Kluyveromyces lactis: one gene and its partners. The main gene of each other region encodes a partner of the protein of the gene in region 2 in a complex. Links are inferred from orthologs where the notes say so. Each region holds a gene or a part of one and is shown on either strand. Other genes may lie near its edges. The genes, in order: ATP16, ATP3 and KLLA0_F05511g.

Evidence for each region.
Region 1: the proteins of ATP3 (region 2) and ATP16 are in contact, whole or in part, in a crystal structure (PDB 3FKS), measured with the Saccharomyces cerevisiae proteins. The link is inferred for Kluyveromyces lactis from reciprocal best matches to the Saccharomyces cerevisiae genes ATP3 and ATP16. Residues at the interface, in NP_009595.1 of Saccharomyces cerevisiae: Ala70, Ser73, Ala74, Lys76, Met77, Glu79, Ala80, Glu81, Leu83, Phe84, Asn87, Phe173, Lys229, Phe230, Glu231, Ile232, Ala236, Asn237, Val238, Asp241, Leu242, Tyr245, Leu252; in NP_010280.1 of Saccharomyces cerevisiae: Gln35, Ala37, Leu38, Pro39, His40, Glu41, Thr42, Ser45, Lys57, Val68, Pro69, Thr70, Val71, Gln73, Gly94, Gly95, Phe96, Thr98, Val99, Gln100, Pro101, Asp102, Gln104, Cys106, Thr108, Ala109, Ile110.
Region 3: the proteins of ATP3 (region 2) and KLLA0_F05511g are in contact, whole or in part, in a crystal structure (PDB 3ZIA), measured with the Saccharomyces cerevisiae proteins. The link is inferred for Kluyveromyces lactis from reciprocal best matches to the Saccharomyces cerevisiae genes ATP3 and INH1. Residues at the interface, in NP_009595.1 of Saccharomyces cerevisiae: Met41, Arg42, Lys44, Ser45, Asn48, Ile49; in NP_010100.1 of Saccharomyces cerevisiae: Ser23, Ser26, Thr27, Arg31, Asp37, Phe39.

Annotation. Positions count from the first base shown.
Region 1 is NC_006042.1:1,362,993-1,368,605, forward strand, and holds ATP16 (F1F0 ATP synthase subunit delta), read left to right. Parts: upstream 1-3,509; coding exon 3,510-3,989; downstream 3,990-5,613. Other genes in the region: proteasome regulatory particle base subunit RPT2, read left to right, coding at 1-276; type 2C protein phosphatase PTC1, read left to right, coding at 896-1,744; MED2 (Med2p), read right to left, coding at 2,003-2,845; MCD1 (kleisin alpha), read left to right, coding at 5,202-5,613. UniProt on the Saccharomyces cerevisiae protein: Mitochondrial membrane ATP synthase (F(1)F(0) ATP synthase or Complex V) produces ATP from ADP in the presence of a proton gradient across the membrane which is generated by electron transport complexes of the respiratory chain.
Region 2 is NC_006038.1:602,270-608,444, reverse strand, and holds ATP3 (F1F0 ATP synthase subunit gamma), read left to right. Parts: upstream 1-3,243; coding exon 3,244-4,113; downstream 4,114-6,175. Other genes in the region: inositol polyphosphate kinase KCS1, read right to left, coding at 1-1,751; FIG1 (Fig1p), read left to right, coding at 5,041-5,934. UniProt on the Saccharomyces cerevisiae protein: Mitochondrial membrane ATP synthase (F(1)F(0) ATP synthase or Complex V) produces ATP from ADP in the presence of a proton gradient across the membrane which is generated by electron transport complexes of the respiratory chain.
Region 3 is NC_006042.1:539,500-545,156, forward strand, and holds KLLA0_F05511g (ATPase-binding protein), read left to right. Parts: upstream 1-3,719; coding exon 3,720-3,989; downstream 3,990-5,657. Other genes in the region: cullin CDC53, read left to right, coding at 1-860; homocitrate synthase LYS21, read left to right, coding at 1,647-2,972; RPP1B (ribosomal protein P1 beta), read left to right, coding at 5,498-5,657. UniProt on the Saccharomyces cerevisiae protein: Endogenous ATPase inhibitor, which inhibits specifically the reverse ATPase reaction of mitochondrial F(1)F(0)-type ATP synthase.

The DNA of each region.
Region 1 (5,613 bases), on a different chromosome or scaffold from region 2:
AAGATTTTGTTCGAAAACCCCGATATAACAACAAAGAGAAAAATCGTCGGTATTCATACATCTAAGATGAACTTAGCAGAGGACGTAGACCTAGATAATTTGGTCACTTCAAAAGATGACCTATCAGGTGCAGACATCAAAGCAATGTGTACAGAAGCGGGGCTTTTGGCTCTAAGAGAAAGAAGAATGCAAGTCACAGCACAAGATTTCAAGGAAGCAAAAGAACGTGTACTCAAAAATAAGGTTGAAGAAAACTTGGAAGGTTTGTACTTATAAGTAGGGATTAATCTTCATATATATATATATATATATATATATATATACTACAGTTTAATATCTTTAATATCTTCACATATCCAAATTCAATCTCCCTGCCGCCAACATTTATGCAATGATTTATCAATCTAAGTTTGTATTTTTAACCTTTTACACTTTCACAACTTTTCGGGCAGATAGAGGGAAACGATAAATATAGAAATTACGAAAAGTTGAACTTTAAATGTTTTAAAGATTGAAAGGACAACAGTATAATGAGATGAGTAGAAATAAACTGCAAACTAACAAGAGCCTTGCAGTATATACGAGGTGAAGAAACCTGTGACTTGTGATTGCGAGAGAAAGCACAATTAGTTATTGTCAATTTTTTTCCTTATCTCGTTTCTAACAACTGCATTATTGATTGGAATTTTTTTGATAAAAGTTCAATTAGTTCATATTTAAGGACTGACAAAACTTTGTGGTCTTTTCAAGGAGCTATATAACTGGATAAGTTCCATTATTGGTATTTGTGAGGGTTCAAGGCGTGTCAATTTTTTTCTGAGGTCACTGGACGTTAGTTTTATTCATTGAAGTCATTTAAAGAACCCTTGGATATATCGAGTTGCTTTTAGAAGTCATGTCAGACTCTCCGGAATACGAATTGACGTATAAGGTTGGGGTGGCCGAAAATAACAACTCCAAGTTTCGGAAAACGATGGAAGATGTTCATACATACGTTGAGAATTTTGCATCAAGGCTAGATTGGGGTTATTTTGCTATCTTTGATGGACATGTAGGAAGTGAGGCTTCTAAATGGTGTGGAGCGAACTTACACAGATACTTGGAACAGAAAATATTAGAGGATGAGGCCCGTGATCTGAGGGATGTTTTGAATGACTCGTTTGTGCATGCAGATAATGAGATTAACAATGCATTGAAGGGGAATAGCGGTTGCACTGCAGCCGTCTGCGTGTTGAGATGGGAAATACCTGATACCACAGTGCCCAGTGAGGACGAAACGATAAATTTACAACAACATAAGAGGATGTTATATACAGCGAACGTTGGAGATACAAGAGTGGTACTTTTCAGGAATGGCAACAGTATACGATTGACATATGATCACAAGGCTTCGGATATTCTGGAGCTGCAGCGTGTTGAAAATGCGGGTGGTTTAATAATGAAGAGCAGAGTCAATGGGATGCTGGCTGTTACCAGATCACTTGGTGATAAGTTTTTTGATTCATTGGTAGTGGCAAATCCATTTACGACAAGTGTTGAGATTACAACGAGTGATCAGTTCTTAATTATTGCATGCGATGGGTTGTGGGATGTGATAGAGGACCATGAGGCGTGTGAGATGATAAAAGACATAAATAATCCCAATGAAGCAGCAAGAGTATTAGTAAGATATGCTCTTGAGAATGGAACCACAGATAATGTGACCGTAATGGTAATATTTTTGGATACTTCGCAGGAGAACTGAAGTCAGTTTTCGATGTTAATGCAGTTGTATAAAATTATAGATATATATATATATATATATATATATATATATAAGCATATACATATCTTCCTAGATAATACGTTCTTCTTTGAAGCAGAGCTCTTTTTTAGAAATCAATTGAAAGGAGTTGCGTAGTTCATTGACCAATTACTCCATGCAGAATAGAGCATTAGAAAGCAATAACGGTATTATATTAGACCTACGGTTAATTCATGTCATACCGAGGTATGACAAACATCATATGTTAAAATCTTCCAAATTCAATTCATTATTGTCGTTAGCCGCATTCCAATCAATGCCGAGGTCGTTGAAATCGTTCAACGTTAGATAACTACTTGGATTGCCATTTTCAGGAACGTTTACTGCAGAAGGTGGTGCATTTGTATCATTGAAATTTATTTGAGGATCATTCTTTTTCTCGTTTCCACCAGATGTGTTTTGTAACCCGCCAAAACCTACCTGGTTATCCATTGAGTCAAACATAGAAAGATCCATGCCGTTTAAATCACCAAACTCGGAGTTGAAAGACTGGGCTTGAGTAATTCCAGCAGACGGTAGATCAGTATCAAAGTTTGTTAGCATGTCTATTGGGGTGTTCTTAGCGGAGTATCTCTGCTGCTGTTCATGTTGTTGTTCCTGTGGCTGTTGCTGTTGCTGTTGCTGTTGTTGTTGCTGCTGTTGTTGCTGTTTCTGTTTCAATTGTTTTTGCTCTAATTGCTGCTGTTCTAATTTCTGCTGTTCCAATAACTGTCTCTCTAACTTTTCTTGTTCTTGTTTCTTGATCTGTTCTTCCTCTCTCTGTTTCTTCAACTGCAATGCGCTATCTTTCACTGCCCCAACGTAATCCGCCGTTGTTTGTAATGAAACGTCTAAAGTATCAAGAAGCGAGTAAAACTGCGTTATTCTATCACCTAGTCCTTTCTGCTGAGCCTTTGAAAACCCTGTCGTCACCTTGGGATCTAGTTTAATAGTTTTCAATTGCTGTTGAGTTAACAAATCAGCTGAAAGTCGAAGTATATCATCGAAATATTGCGTCAACTTGTTCTCCTGTCTGTCAGAAACACCAGTCTTAGGTACCATTATGAAACTGACGTGTTTAGGACCGTAAGACGTCTGACCATCCAGGGTTCTGGGAGCAGTCCTGTATCATGTACGATGCGGATAAGTGATTATGATGAATCGTTCATTATACATTTCATTGAATAGTGGTTTAAAGAAAATCATGAGCCAATCAAAACGATGGAAATGGCCATATTCGACAGGGTAACAACATACATTTTATCAATCAGGGACCCCTAGCTTCATACATCATATCTACTACGTGCTACAAAAAGTACTGCAAACAGGTGTCACGTATATACACTCATTTCACGACTACACTAGAGCTAGGTGTCCCTCAACGGTCTTTTCAGCAAAGCCATTGACGTTTCACAGGCTTGAAAACACCTCTTCTCGAGTGCATCAACTTTTTCAGTTTTCAGTTTTCCAAGGCCTCAATTAGGATTTTTGAAAATGAAAAGAATGGGATTTTAGTTTTAATTACAGCTTTACGATATTTGTGAATAAGGTTTTACTAGAACTGTTCTTGTTGGACTACTGTTGTTCCTTCTTAGACTTTTGTATTTTGATCTTTGTTTAGTGTTATTAGATTTTGTTTCAATTGAATTCATTACAGTCTGTTTTAATTGCTTCTTGTCCAGAATCGAAATCATAAGAACACATTACCAGAAAATAATCACCTATAATGTTCCGTTTATCTGCTGCTAGAACTTTGGCCAAATCTGTCAACACCGTTGTTGCTAAGCGTACTTATGCTGAAGCTGCCGATGGTGCTTTGAAGTTGCAATTTGCTTTGCCACATCAAACCTTGTTTTCTGGTACTCCAGTTACCCAAGTCAACTTGCCAGCTAAGTCTGGTCAAATCGGTATCTTGGCTAACCACGTTCCAACTGTTGAACAATTGGTTCCAGGTGTTGTTGAAGTCTTGGAAGGTTCTTCTTCTAAGAAGTTCTTTGTTTCCGGTGGTTTCGCTACTGTCCAACCAGACTCTACCTTGGCTATCACTTCCGTTGAAGCATTCCCATTAGAGTCTTTCTCTCCAGAAAACGTTAGATCTCTGTTGGCTGAAGCTCAAAAGAACGTCTCCTCTGCTGACGAAGTTGCTGCTGCCGAAGCTGCTATCCAACTTGAAGTTTTGGAAGCTTTGCAAGCCGCTTTGAAATAATTGAGATGAACGAAGAATTACAATTGGACCAAGGTATAATACACTTGATACGGATACTCTACTTGGAAGCAATTGTTTTCCCGGTTGATTGTAAACCTGTCTCGGCGTTTGTATTATCCTTCGTCTGCTTTTTTTTCATTATTCTAATTCCTATTATTCCATTGCACAAGCTTACACAACACAACGACGAATACATTTCATGATTTAGCCTAAAGACCCTTTTTTGTTGCTCCGGTCATTGTCCTTTCTTTCCATACAATACTGTAGTGTGAACGTACGAATAAGACTGGGAACTATTGAGAATTAACCTAAAACGACTATTACTAAAATATACAACGAATTAAAACCCAGCGAATTAAAAGAAATCAGAAGAAATAAATACGATAAAACCTAAAAATTCTAAATGATATGGAGGTTGATACAAGTGATGTCTCGATTCCGTTTCAAAAGGGGGTTCTAGTCTTTGTTTTAATGACCAACAAACATAAATCTTTCTTCAATATACTATTCCTTCCTTTCTAACAATATCAAAGAAAACACTGGATCGATTATAATTTGTCTATCCCCGTTAAAAATATTATCAATTAAGAACCGAATTGAAAGACTTAGATTTTATATTTTTTAGCAGAAACGATTTGTGTGTAACTGATGTCTAGTTTTAAGATTCATATTCATATATACCGATTAAACTGACTGCGCATACTGAGAGAGATGATCTGGTTTTGGCATCAACAAGAGTTAGAAAGGCAGGGTAATAAATGGGTATAAGGTCCTCACTTGTTACCCGGATTTTATACCACGAAATCGAAATTTTTCCGGCGGGAAATCTTTTGAGGTCCCAGAAAAAGACATTGTTTTCCCCCAAAAATATTTTCGCGATTTTTCTCCATAACGCGTTTCCGTGATGAGATCTATAACCAGCAATCCTTTAACAAATATCATTGATAAACACTGGATGAGAAGTATGTCTATTCCATCATATTGATTGCACCTTTACCAATAATTTTATCAAATATATATATTACCTATGGAATTTTAATGTCGTGACCTCTGAAAAAAGACACAGTGCTATTTTATTTCATTTTTATTTTGCTAACCATTCCTTATAAGATCAAGTTCTAATCTCGATCTTAAGTTTATATCCATTTGCTATACCATTTGCAACAGGAACCACGAGCCTTATATCACCTAATCCAAAAATAAACAACGTATATGCCACCAAATAGCAATTCACATACTCAGGTGAGATTAAATACAAGCAATGGGCCGTTGGCTCAGATCTGGCTGGCTTCCAATTTGAGTAGCATCAATCGGAACATTGCAAAGACTAATATCGTGGAATCTGTTGAAGAGATTGCCAAAGCTGCAGGTGTTAATCTAGATGATGAATCTGTGGAACCTATCACATTACGTGCTTCCGGTGAGTTACTACATGGTGTTGTAAAAGTTTATTCTCAAAAAGCATCCTATCTGCTTACTGATATCACAGACTTACTGAGTAAAGTGAAATCTATCTTCAAGGGATCGCTGAACAAGAGCGTCACAATTCAGCTAGATACAGTGGCAAAGTTAGATCAGCTTTTATTGCAAGATGCGGTTACAGAACTTGACGTCTTGGAGATGC
Region 2 (6,175 bases):
TCGTCCAACTTAAACATAATATCGTCATCTTCCAAGTTGCTAGGATTCACATCTAATACGTTATTTGTCGATACGGCTGCTCGCTTCATAGAATTACGCCGTAAATATTGTTCGTTGCCCAGGCCTCTTGATTTCTTATTAGAAGAAGAGGAAGAAGATCTCGAGTGTTTACATTCCTTTAGAGACGAGGAAGATCCTGTTCTAGTACGTGAAGAACGAGGACTATAACATACACCCGAGGGTTTCCGTCTCATGAAAGCTTCTTTGACCACCAATTCTTGTAATTTTGTGTTGACACTAGTTGATCCAGATCCTTGATTGGAATTACCCTTAAAAACCTCTCCTCCGTCAAAAGAACGAGACGACAAAAATGAATCTATTGGAGCACTAGAAGGCGAGTTTGAAGTCGACCGGGATGAAGAATATTGTTGATACAGTGAATTGGGTATAATATGCTTGTTGTCATCTAGCACTACTTCCGGTAGTGTAGAAATCCCTTCTTTGATGTCTTCCATTCGTGACAAGAATGTAGGTGATGCTAATCTATTACATGAGCTTCTAGATTGGTCATTAAGTGTTCTCTCATTCCTCAGATCATTACTGGAAATATGCGAGTTGTCATTAGAGGTATTAGTATTATTATTCGCTTTGAACTTGGTTGTATTGTTAACTATTTCTTCTAAGAAATCTTCCTTCGTGTGGAAATGCTGTCTGACGTTCAATACACCGATGTATCTTGGCATGAATTGAAGAAGTTCTTGATGCTCCTTTTCTATGGTTTCGTACCAGTTATTTTCTGTATTAACCAAAGCTTTGCAGACGGCTCTTTCACTGAATTTAAAGATAGCAGTGTGCCCTCCAACTTTGTTCGTGAAAGGTTTCAATTCCACCGCCAAGGGGAAATCACCGTGTTCTTCAACATCGTCGTCATCATCATCGTCAGCGATAGCACTTTCATCAGGAATTGTCTTAGAATTGAAACTTGGTATCTTATTTTCAATTCTCAGCGGTTCATCGTGCCGTTGTTGTTCTAAAGCTGTATTAGTTAACTTCCTTGGATATTCTTCATCCTTGTGATTTCTCGCAGCACCGATATGAATAGGGGGCACCACTACATCCGGGCCAAAGAGATTGACACTTGTCTTATCTTTCTCATCAATTATAGAGATATCTTTATAACTGGATAAAATGTGACGATCTTCATCTGTTAAGTAGATAGCGGACGCGGAAGTTTTTGGTTCTAATGCAACACCTTCTGTCGCATCCACATCTTCCAGCTCATGTAAATCTGTCAAATCTGTCGACTTAGTATTTTTCAAAACAGGTCGTTGGTCTACGCTGACCTTCATAAACGATTTAGGACCATGCGCGATCTCTGTCTCATTTGAGTTTGAATTAGATTTGGAGCCTAAGCCACCACCAGAATACTTCCTTAGGCTTTGATCAGGAATCGAGACATCTGAGTCTTTATCATCGAACACTCTCAAGTAATTAGCTGCTTTTCTACCATGAATTACAGAACTCTTCCTGTTCCTACTAGACTGCTGCTGTTGCAGCTGCTGGTTCTGACCACTAATTTGGGGTGAAGGATGCCGTTGTTTGTTACAACTATCGTCCATACTTAAATCCTGCAAGTGAGCCGCAACCAGAGTGGTCTGTTGTGCGGCATTTTCATTAGAGCCATGCCGTTGTACTTGCATCTGTTGCTGTTGCTGTTGCTGCTGCTGCAGGCCATTAACCTCTTGCTCCATGTGTTTATAAAACAGCCTGTAACAAAGGATTGGAAAACCAAAATAATAACAAAAAAAAGAGTCCTGTTACAAGAGATAAGAGAAGCGCAGATGAGAATGAAATCACAGAATAATATGAATACAGTACTGGCTTTCTTTGGCTCACCTGGCAAACAGCGCGAACCGATAATTGGGCCAGATTGAGGATATATCTATTAAGATGAATTGAAAGATTGTTTTTCTTTATTGATATATTAGATCAAGAAGCTTTAAAAAAAAAAATTATAACGAAAGACTGAATACTGATTAAATTGAACATGGAATAGATATCGAGATAGAAATTGAACAGATACTAAATGTCTGATGTTCACTATTTCTAAATGATGTTTCAACTGCAGGTGGCCCTAATTTCTGACATGCGAATGTCAAGATATGACATAACGTCCAGCAGCACCTGCACGCTACACTCTTCCTTTTTCAGTAACGGTAGTTTAAATTCATTTTATGTAGACAGAATATAGAGATGAGAGAGAATAAATAAAAGGTTTGCGTCAAGGTGAAAAGAGGGGAGGAGCAGTCTTTGCATGTGGGGGATCTGAACCCATGTGTGTAATGGTTTTAAATTGAAGATTGTGCCTTATTATAACCATCAAAATTTCCTTTTTTTTCCCCCTGCCTGGCATGCCTTTTTGAGTTGTAATAATAAGGGAAACGGAAGCATGTGGTGAGCATCCTTGCATGCACCATCAAATTATGTTTTTTTCAAACATCCAAATTAATATGCTCGCGTGGCGTAATGGCAACGCGTCTGACTTCTAATCAGAAGATTGTGGGTTCGACCCCCACCGTGAGTGCTTTCTTTGGATTTTACCACATCCGCGATAGTTTAATGGTTAGAATTCGCGCTTGTCGCGTGCGAGATCGGGGTTCAATTCCCCGTCGCGGAGAATTTTTATTTTTTTGACCCTAGCTGTCGTTACATCACGTGACTTTCCGCCAATGATACCATGGAATACATAACAAGTCCGGGTAAGACCGCTATATTCTCACAGAAATCAAAAATTTATTGCTGGACTCGTATATGATGATCCATATAATGGCGTTCCATCTTCAAAGATACACAGAGCCCCTTCAATTAGAGTATATATCTGGCCATATAAGCTGACTCTCTCACTCCATAACCGCAGCATTCTACTCAAGACTAGCTACAAATAACCTATACTATCCCACCCTATTCTCTCCTGGCTTCTGCCCCCCGTCTTTCTCCCTTTATACCTCGAATTTCACGACCCGGTGTGAAATTCCCAATCTTCGAAATAATTTTCAAACATATCGATTTCGAGGTTTTTTAACTCTTTTACTATTACAAGTGTGTATTTTGAATAATTTGATTAACGTTCCACACGGTGAATACTTGAATTGTATTTGCATTGAGTTGACCAGTCTACCTTTTCAACTGTTCTCTTTGTTCAACCCCGCAAGCCCAACGTAAGAAATATACATTCGAATAACAATGTTTGTGAGAAACACTGCATCCGTTGTACGTGGTACTTCCAGAAACTATGCAACCTTGAGAGAAATCGAAACCAGATTGAAGTCTATCAAGAACATCGAAAAGATCACCAAGACCATGAAGATCGTTGCTTCTACCAGATTGTCCAAGGCTGAAAGAGCTAAGAACAGTGCTAAGGAGTATGCCTTGGCCGATGCTGCTTTCTACAAGAACGCAGAAACTGTTCCATTGGAAGATGCTGAAAAGAAAGATTTGATCATTGCCATCACTTCTGATAAAGGTTTGTGTGGTTCTATTCACTCTCAATTGGCCAAGGCTGTTAGACTTCAATTGAAGCAAACTCCAAACGCTGATGTTGTTGCCATCGGTGACAAGGTTAAGGGTCAATTGCTAAGAACCAACTCTGACAACCTCAAGTTCGCTTTCAATGGTGTTGGTAAGGAAGCTCCAACTTTTGAAGAAACTTCTTTGATTGCTAACAAGATCTTGGAAGGTGGTGCTTCCAATTACAAGAAGGTTTCGATCTTCTGGAACGACCCTATCTCTTCTTTGTCCTTCGAACCTTCTAACAAGCCAGTCTTCAACGCTGCTGCCATTGAACAATCTCCTTCTTTCTCCAAGTTCGAAATCGATGCTGACAACAACGTTTCTCAAGATTTGTTCGAATTCACTTTATCCAACGAAATCTTGGCTGCCATGGCTGAAGGTTATGCTGCTGAAGTCTCTGCTAGAAGAAACGCTATGGATAACGCTTCCAAGAACGCCGGTGACATGATTAACAGTTACTCCATCTTATACAACAGAACCAGACAAGCCGTTATCACCAACGAGTTGGTTGATATTATTACTGGTGCTTCTTCTTTGGATTAAACGTAATATGAAGAAAAGAATACTTTTAATTTATCACTAAATTAGCTGGAAAGAGTTAAACAGGAACCTTCATACTGAAGAGGAAAGAGCATCCTCATCCCCTCTACAATCGCAGTTCCTTATCACCCTTTCTGCCTCTTTTTTTTTCTAAACTTACACCTATTTTCCACCTCTATCAATGAAAATGATATATTATTTGGTATTATAATGTTAAACTATCATTGGGTTTCCTTAAATTATCATTCTAAGACATCATTTCTATATTTTATGATTATGAATTGAAGAACTTAACAACAATTAAAAAAACTACTTTGAGATTTATTTCACTAAATATCTCTCTCAGAGGGCTATGAAGACGTTTACGCCTTTACATTTCCAAATGGCGATAAAGAATTATTATAAGAAACTAATATTGGCCTCTTTCAAGGTTCTACTCATATCGCACATATTGTTTTGAGCCACTTCCAATGAAGGCAATTGTTCGATCGAGTGTCAAGTTTACATATTCGGACTTTCGCATTTCATTCAACAACACTCTCGTCTGGCCTCAGATTTCTACTGTATACTGCCATTATCACTACGTATGTACCATATTTGTATGACTCTTTTAAAACAGATATATTCAATGCGAATCCCCCTTCGCCTCTCCTATGTATTATGAGGTTGCATTGGCGCATGTCTTCTGTCATTCATAGTCGATTCAGGTCTGTTTCATATCTGTATCACTGTTAAAAAACACTGAAACACTTGAATACTGGAACAAGATTATCAGATATGATGCAGTATTATTTCAGTTCATTAAACGTATATAACCAGATGCATTCATATTGCAAACTTTCAATGAGCTTTTAGTTTCAATTTACTTTCTAGTACAGTTAGGTGTAACTTAGCATCCTTCAACAAAACACTGATAAATACAAAATCATTATGTTTCTACCATTCACCTTATTCTATAAGCTAGGAAAACGTATTCCTAGGGTGCTGGTGTTAATTACTTCTTTTATTTCAGTATTTTTATTGGTATTTTTATTAGTGGGTTGTTACAACGTCGATCAGAGTTCAACGTATTTGGTGAAATATCAATTCAACGATAAATCTCCCCTATATCCAGTCATTTCAAATCAGTTCAGTTCACAGGAATATACTGATGGATTAGAAAACGTTCAAATATTTTCAGGGTATATGGGGATATGTATCAATAACATCCCATCGAATTATGACAGAAACTCCTCGAGCAAATCGTCTAAGGTTTGTTTCAACAGGAAGAAGGTAGATGACATGGACATATTTGACGATTTGACGATTAAGATTTTCAGTTTCAAGAATTCCAACTCCACAGAAGAATCAGAGTCCAGTAATTTAAATATATTGGAGTTAGCTCACCAAAATTCTGACGAACTGGTGCATCCTTATTTATTGATGGTTGTTACCATTTTCACAATTTTGTTGTTTGGAATCACAGTATATGCAATCATACCTAAATTGCCATTTAAAAATTACGTGCAGTTTATTATCATGGGTTTATCTGCATTGATCACCTTGTTATGGGCTATTGGTGCCATATGGACTCACGTTGCCATAAATTGCAATGTATCCCTAATTCCAAGAGCATCGATGAATATAATGACAGCAGAAAAAGGAAGTAAATCACAGGCTCTGTCATGGACTGCATTTACATTCATGCTCATAGACTGCTTGATAATGTGGATGGTATACTTTAGAGATAGAAAGAAGCTCGACGAGAAGCTGGATGACGTTAAGTCAACCAAAAACCCGTTCTCGAATAAATACGCATCAGATACAACTTTAAGCAGTGTATGATAGAAGCCAACGCAGCCATTGCACTTCCTAATATTATATGCACTTTGCGAATGATTATATCGTATTTTAAAGATGTGTTTCTGGTCCCAACGTTATTATAAGTTTGCAGTTTCTTTATATCTTTATTTAAATGTATGTTGAATGAATTTCCAAGTTTCTATAAATTCTCATAAGTTCGAATTCATATATCTACAAAACTAACTGGATAAAAAAGGGAAGCAATTTAACAGTATCCAAACCA
Region 3 (5,657 bases), on a different chromosome or scaffold from region 2:
ACTTGCATGATGAATTTTCCACGTTCATTTCACAAGATGGGAATAATACTACTAGCGCCGCAACTTTCAGAAGCAAAGTTCCTGAATTAGAACCTCTAATTCTTGCAGACAATGTATGGCCCTTCAGCTATCAACCAACAGAATTCGCATTACCACCAGTTCTTGAACATAGTAAGAACAAATTGGAAACCATGTATACTGACAAGCATTCTGGTAGAATATTGAAATGGCTATGGCCAATGTCTCGTGGTGAAATCAAGGCACATATTGGTAAACCAGGCAAACCACCATTCCAATTCACTGTGACTATTTTCCAAATGGCGATTCTTACCTTGTTTAATGATATATCTACGTTGACCTTTGAACAAATACAAGAGAGAACCAATTTGAAGGCTACACAGATTGCGTCTAATATGTATCCGTTTGTGAAGATGAAACTATTAATACAATCTCCAGAAGGGGTGGAAAGTATGATCAAGTTAGATACAAAGTACACCTTAAACAAACCCTATCGATTATCGAAAACTAGTGTTAATTTTGCAGCCGCTGTGAAAAATGATCTAACCTTTACTGCAACCGTTAATGGATCTGCATTAGATGAAACAGAGGCATCTGAGCAAAAGAAAGCAGAAAAGGAACTAAATCAACAAAGATTGATGTTCTTAAGAGCATGCATAGTGAGAATTATGAAGGCAAAGAGAAAACTACCACACAGTTCATTGATGAACGAGTGTATTGCCGAATCTCAACAGAGATTCAACGCCAAGGTGTCCATGATCAAAAAAGCTGTCGACAATCTAATAGAACAAGAGTATTTGAAAAGGACAGACGACGGTGAATGCTATGAATATCTAGCGTAAACGCTCACTTTTTTATCCACCTTTTACTTCGCCATACATATGTATAAGAAATGTATATGTATCAACATATATTTCGCAACCATTCGACCATTCGACCAAAGGTCAACCTTGGGCCCCATATTTTCAAGCATGAATATTCCCAAGAAAAAAAGAGAGACATCATGAAAGGACCGACGAGTATACTATTCATTACTCAATAGCCAAACCTAAATGCTTGGGTAGCCCTCTCTGCTCTCTTGCTGCTCTCACTACTCTCAGTGACTACCTTAGCATCATTCGGAAGGTGTTTGTCAATACCTGCTGCAAAAATCTACGTTCATCGGATTTAAAATCCACAGGAATATTCACGAAAATTGGTCATGATTAGACTTTAGCTCGAAATTGAGTGGGAATTTTACCATATTTCTTTTCATTGACCATATTTCAATTATGGGAAAGAAAAAATTCAGATTTCAGATGAGTCAAGCCATATCAAGGCAGTTTCGATGACATGAATGAGTCTGAAAAAAAAAAAAGGAACTGCTCTACATTTGATGGCAGGTGTTTCTTTGTCTAGTTTATATGCTCTCAGGTTCGACTGTTTTGTTTGTGTGATCGATTCTTGTTACAACTTAATAATATTTTTGTGATATTATTTTTTATTGGAGCTATATATTATACTATATATATATATATTTGGATTACATTCATTTCATTTCTCTTAGAGTATTATAAGGCAGAATAGGAGAATATTTCCATTTGAAGAGCAAAAAAAGTAGATAAACTAGCGATAGACAATAACAAATCATGAGTAGCAATCAGGATTTCCAACCAGTGACTGAATCTGCATCAAGTGTGACAAAATTTCAACAAAATCCATACGGTCCAAACCCAGCTGATTATTTATCAAATGTTAACAACTATCAGTTGATCGATTCTACATTAAGAGAAGGTGAACAATTTGCCAACGCCTTTTTCGATACTGAAAAGAAGATCGAGATTGCCAAGGCCCTAGATGACTTTGGTGTTGATTATATTGAACTTACTTCTCCTGTCGCATCTGAACAATCTAGAAGAGATTGTGAAGCCATTTGCAAGCTTGGATTGAAGGCAAAGATTTTGACCCATATCCGTTGTCACATGGACGATGCTAGAGTGGCAGTAGAAACTGGTGTTGATGGTGTTGATGTTGTTATCGGTACTTCCAAGTTTTTGAGACAATATTCTCACGGTAAGGACATGAATTACATTGCCAAGTCTGCTATTGAAGTCATTGAATTTGTCAAATCCAAGGGTATTGAAATCAGATTCTCTTCTGAGGATTCTTTCAGATCGGATTTGGTCGATTTGCTAAACATTTACAAGACTGTCGATAAGATTGGTGTTAACAGAGTTGGTATTGCTGATACCGTCGGATGTGCTAATCCAAGACAAGTTTACGAATTGGTCAGAACATTGAAGAGTGTGGTTTCATGTGATATCGAATGCCATTTCCACAACGACACCGGTTGTGCTATTGCAAACGCTTACACAGCATTAGAAGGTGGTGCAAGACTTATCGATGTCGCTGTATTAGGTATCGGTGAGAGAAATGGTATCACTCCTCTAGGTGGGCTAATGGCTAGAATGATTGTTGCAGCTCCAGAGTACACCAAATCTAAGTACAAATTGCATAAGATCAGAGATATCGAAAACTTGATTGCTGAAGCCGTGGAGGTAAATATCCCATTCAACAACCCAATTACAGGATTCTGTGCCTTCACACATAAAGCTGGTATTCATGCTAAGGCCATCTTGGCTAACCCATCTACATACGAAATCTTGGACCCTCACGATTTCGGTATGAAGAGATACATCCATTTCGCTAACAGGCTTACCGGTTGGAACGCTATCAAGTCACGTGTTGATCAATTAAACTTGAACTTGACAGATGATCAAGTCAAAGAAGTTACCGCTAAGATTAAGAAGCTTGGTGACATCAGACCCCTAAATATCGATGATGTCGACTCCATCATCAAGGACTTCCATGCTGAAGTATCTACGCCGCAATTGAGAGCTGTAAGAAGAGATGACAACGACGTCAATGACATTGATATCCAAGAGCCATCCAACAAGAAAACCAAGGTAGAGTAAACCTTAAGAAAGGAAATAAACATAAAAGTACTAGAAAGCTCATAAGACAAGTGTAACTTCTTCTTTTTGCCTCGTTCCACCAAGTACCTTGCTTTTATTCACGTTTATGTCAAACTACATTTCTCTCATCCATATATTAAGTATCTTAGTAATTTATTATAGTAACTCAATCTGACACGCACAATAAAAGGCGCTCAAACACAGGCCGCAAGAAATAAAAACTTGTGCAGATAACAGACGGCTGGTATATATGCTTACTCTCATTTCTTTTGATGTATTTTCTCTGGAGTAAAAACAGATGGAATAAGCCGGGAAGCAGGACATATTCCGTTCAAAAAGAAAGACCCCAGTTCTGACATGAGACACTAATAAATACTAACAGTAACTAAATGGGAGCCCGAATCCACCGCAACCGACAAGACATTATTAAGGGTCCGGAAGGAGACTTGACACTATGTCACTACTTTCATCATATATAACGCCATTCTTCCATCACTAAATTCAAGCCTCCCTAACCAATCAGGTTCTTTAGTGTTCTCTTTTTCACACACATTTTTTTTTGTCAAAAAGTTTCACCAAAAAAATGGGAAAAAATATAAAAGGAAAAGAAGAACCTAGTTCCCCTTGAAACACACATGTCTTAACGAAGTGGGCCCGGAACTGAAGGATTGATCACATAATTTGCGTCAGTTACAGTTAGACTAGATAAAAAGTTTTAACAAAGAATACACAAAACCATAACAAACAATGCTATCTCGTTCCACCCGTTCCATTTTGACCCGTGCCTCCAAGGTTCAACCAGCTGCTCTCAGAATGTACTCTTCTTCTGAAGGTTCTGTCGGTTCTACCAGATCAGATGGCTCTTCTGATGCTTTCACTAAGAGAGAAAAGGCACAAGAAGATTTCTATGTCAAGCAACACGAAAAGGAACAATTGGCTCAATTGAGAGAACAATTGAAGCAACAACAAAAGAAAATCGATAACTTGGAAGAGAAATTGGACAACATTACCAAATAAGGAGCCCTTTTTGTTCGATAAAAAGCCTTTAGAAATGACCAGCTGATTCTTCAAACAATAAAACTGACGTTTGTTTCAAAATATGGAGTTAATCGCTAAGCTGCGTTGTCTCTGTCGGATCTAATTCTTATTATTACCTTTATTTTTTTTTGTTATTTGTCATTATACTCCATACAAAATCCAAACCCAATTCATTAAACGCCCTTTTTCAAAGAAAAAAACCTTTAAAATATTCTACAATTCGATCAACTAAGCTGTCTGTTGATTAATGAGATCAACCCAATCGTAGTTAATGTTTTTTTCTACGCAGTCAAATTGAGAATTTTATTATTGACGAAATTATGAAAACCAAGAAAATGGATACAGATTTTTTTTTTATCTATCATGTCAGCTTAAAAACGCCCGTTGGTAAGCGCTCAAGGAAGAAGTGTTTACTTGTTCATCTTCGCCGTTTTACAGTTCTTTCTTATGGAAGCGTTGAGTATATGCGTATTGGCTCGCGTATGCGCTGACACCACACGTAAAGTTTTTGGTAATATTGAAAATGAGATTAAAAACAAAACTATAATCATGTAATTCAATTTTAATATATTAACATTCATTATACTATAATTAGAAATCAATTTCACTCAGGATTACACAATGGAATGAACAGTCAGTCCTAACCTTTCGTAGGTTGCTTCACAGTGATCCAAGGGAAACACTGAATTGAAGGAAAGATATTATTTACAGTAACTTAGTAGAAGTTACCCTTTCGTGGGGAAGTGAGTTCAGTCCTATTGAGATATCTAAAATTAGTAATCCGATATAGTGTAACGGCTATCACACCACGCTCTCACCGTGGAGACCCGGGTTCGACTCCCGGTATCGGAGAAAAAATTATCCTTTTTTTATTATCACTTTTGCATGTTATAATATGTAGCTCGGGACTGTTCATATGGTGCTGTCATGATTGTGTGTAAAACCCAGTCATCTCACTTTAAATTTCTCATTATAATATATTCTGTTTTTTCCATTAATGGAAATAAATCCCACTTAACACCCATACACTACACCCATATTGACAGTTCTGCCCTGAGATACGCATAAATTATATTGTATTTCTACCGAGCTTGACAACACTTTTTGGGGCCGGTGGTAGTTGAAACCCGTGCTATGGGATATTCTGACGATTGGCAACACGTAGCTGTTCCTGTTTTAAGTGTTTTAGTGTCTCTTACATCTATGGCGTTGTCTTGTACATCTTCTTCTGTGTAAACTTACCCTCCCTTGTTGTCGTTTTTGGATCAACAAAACTTCAAATCTTGTTCAGTTTTCCAGATTTTCTGAATTTTCACCGAATAATATTTTTCACTGGAAAACTAGCTAGATTTCAATAAGATATTGAACGTTTAATTATACAACACGTATTTATTGATAAGTTGTAGTTAGGTTGTTTGTTGAGGTTCAATTGCTTGTTGTTGCGATTTTGCTATAGATCCACATATACACATCATACCTAACTAGCAATGTCTGACGCTGTTATTTCTTACGCCTCTTTGATCTTGGCTGATGCCGGTTTGGATGTCACTGCCGACAACTTGTTGACTTTGACCAAGGCTGCCGGTGCCTCTATCGACAACGTGTGGGCTGAAACCTTCGCTAAGGCTTTGGAAGGTAAGGACATCA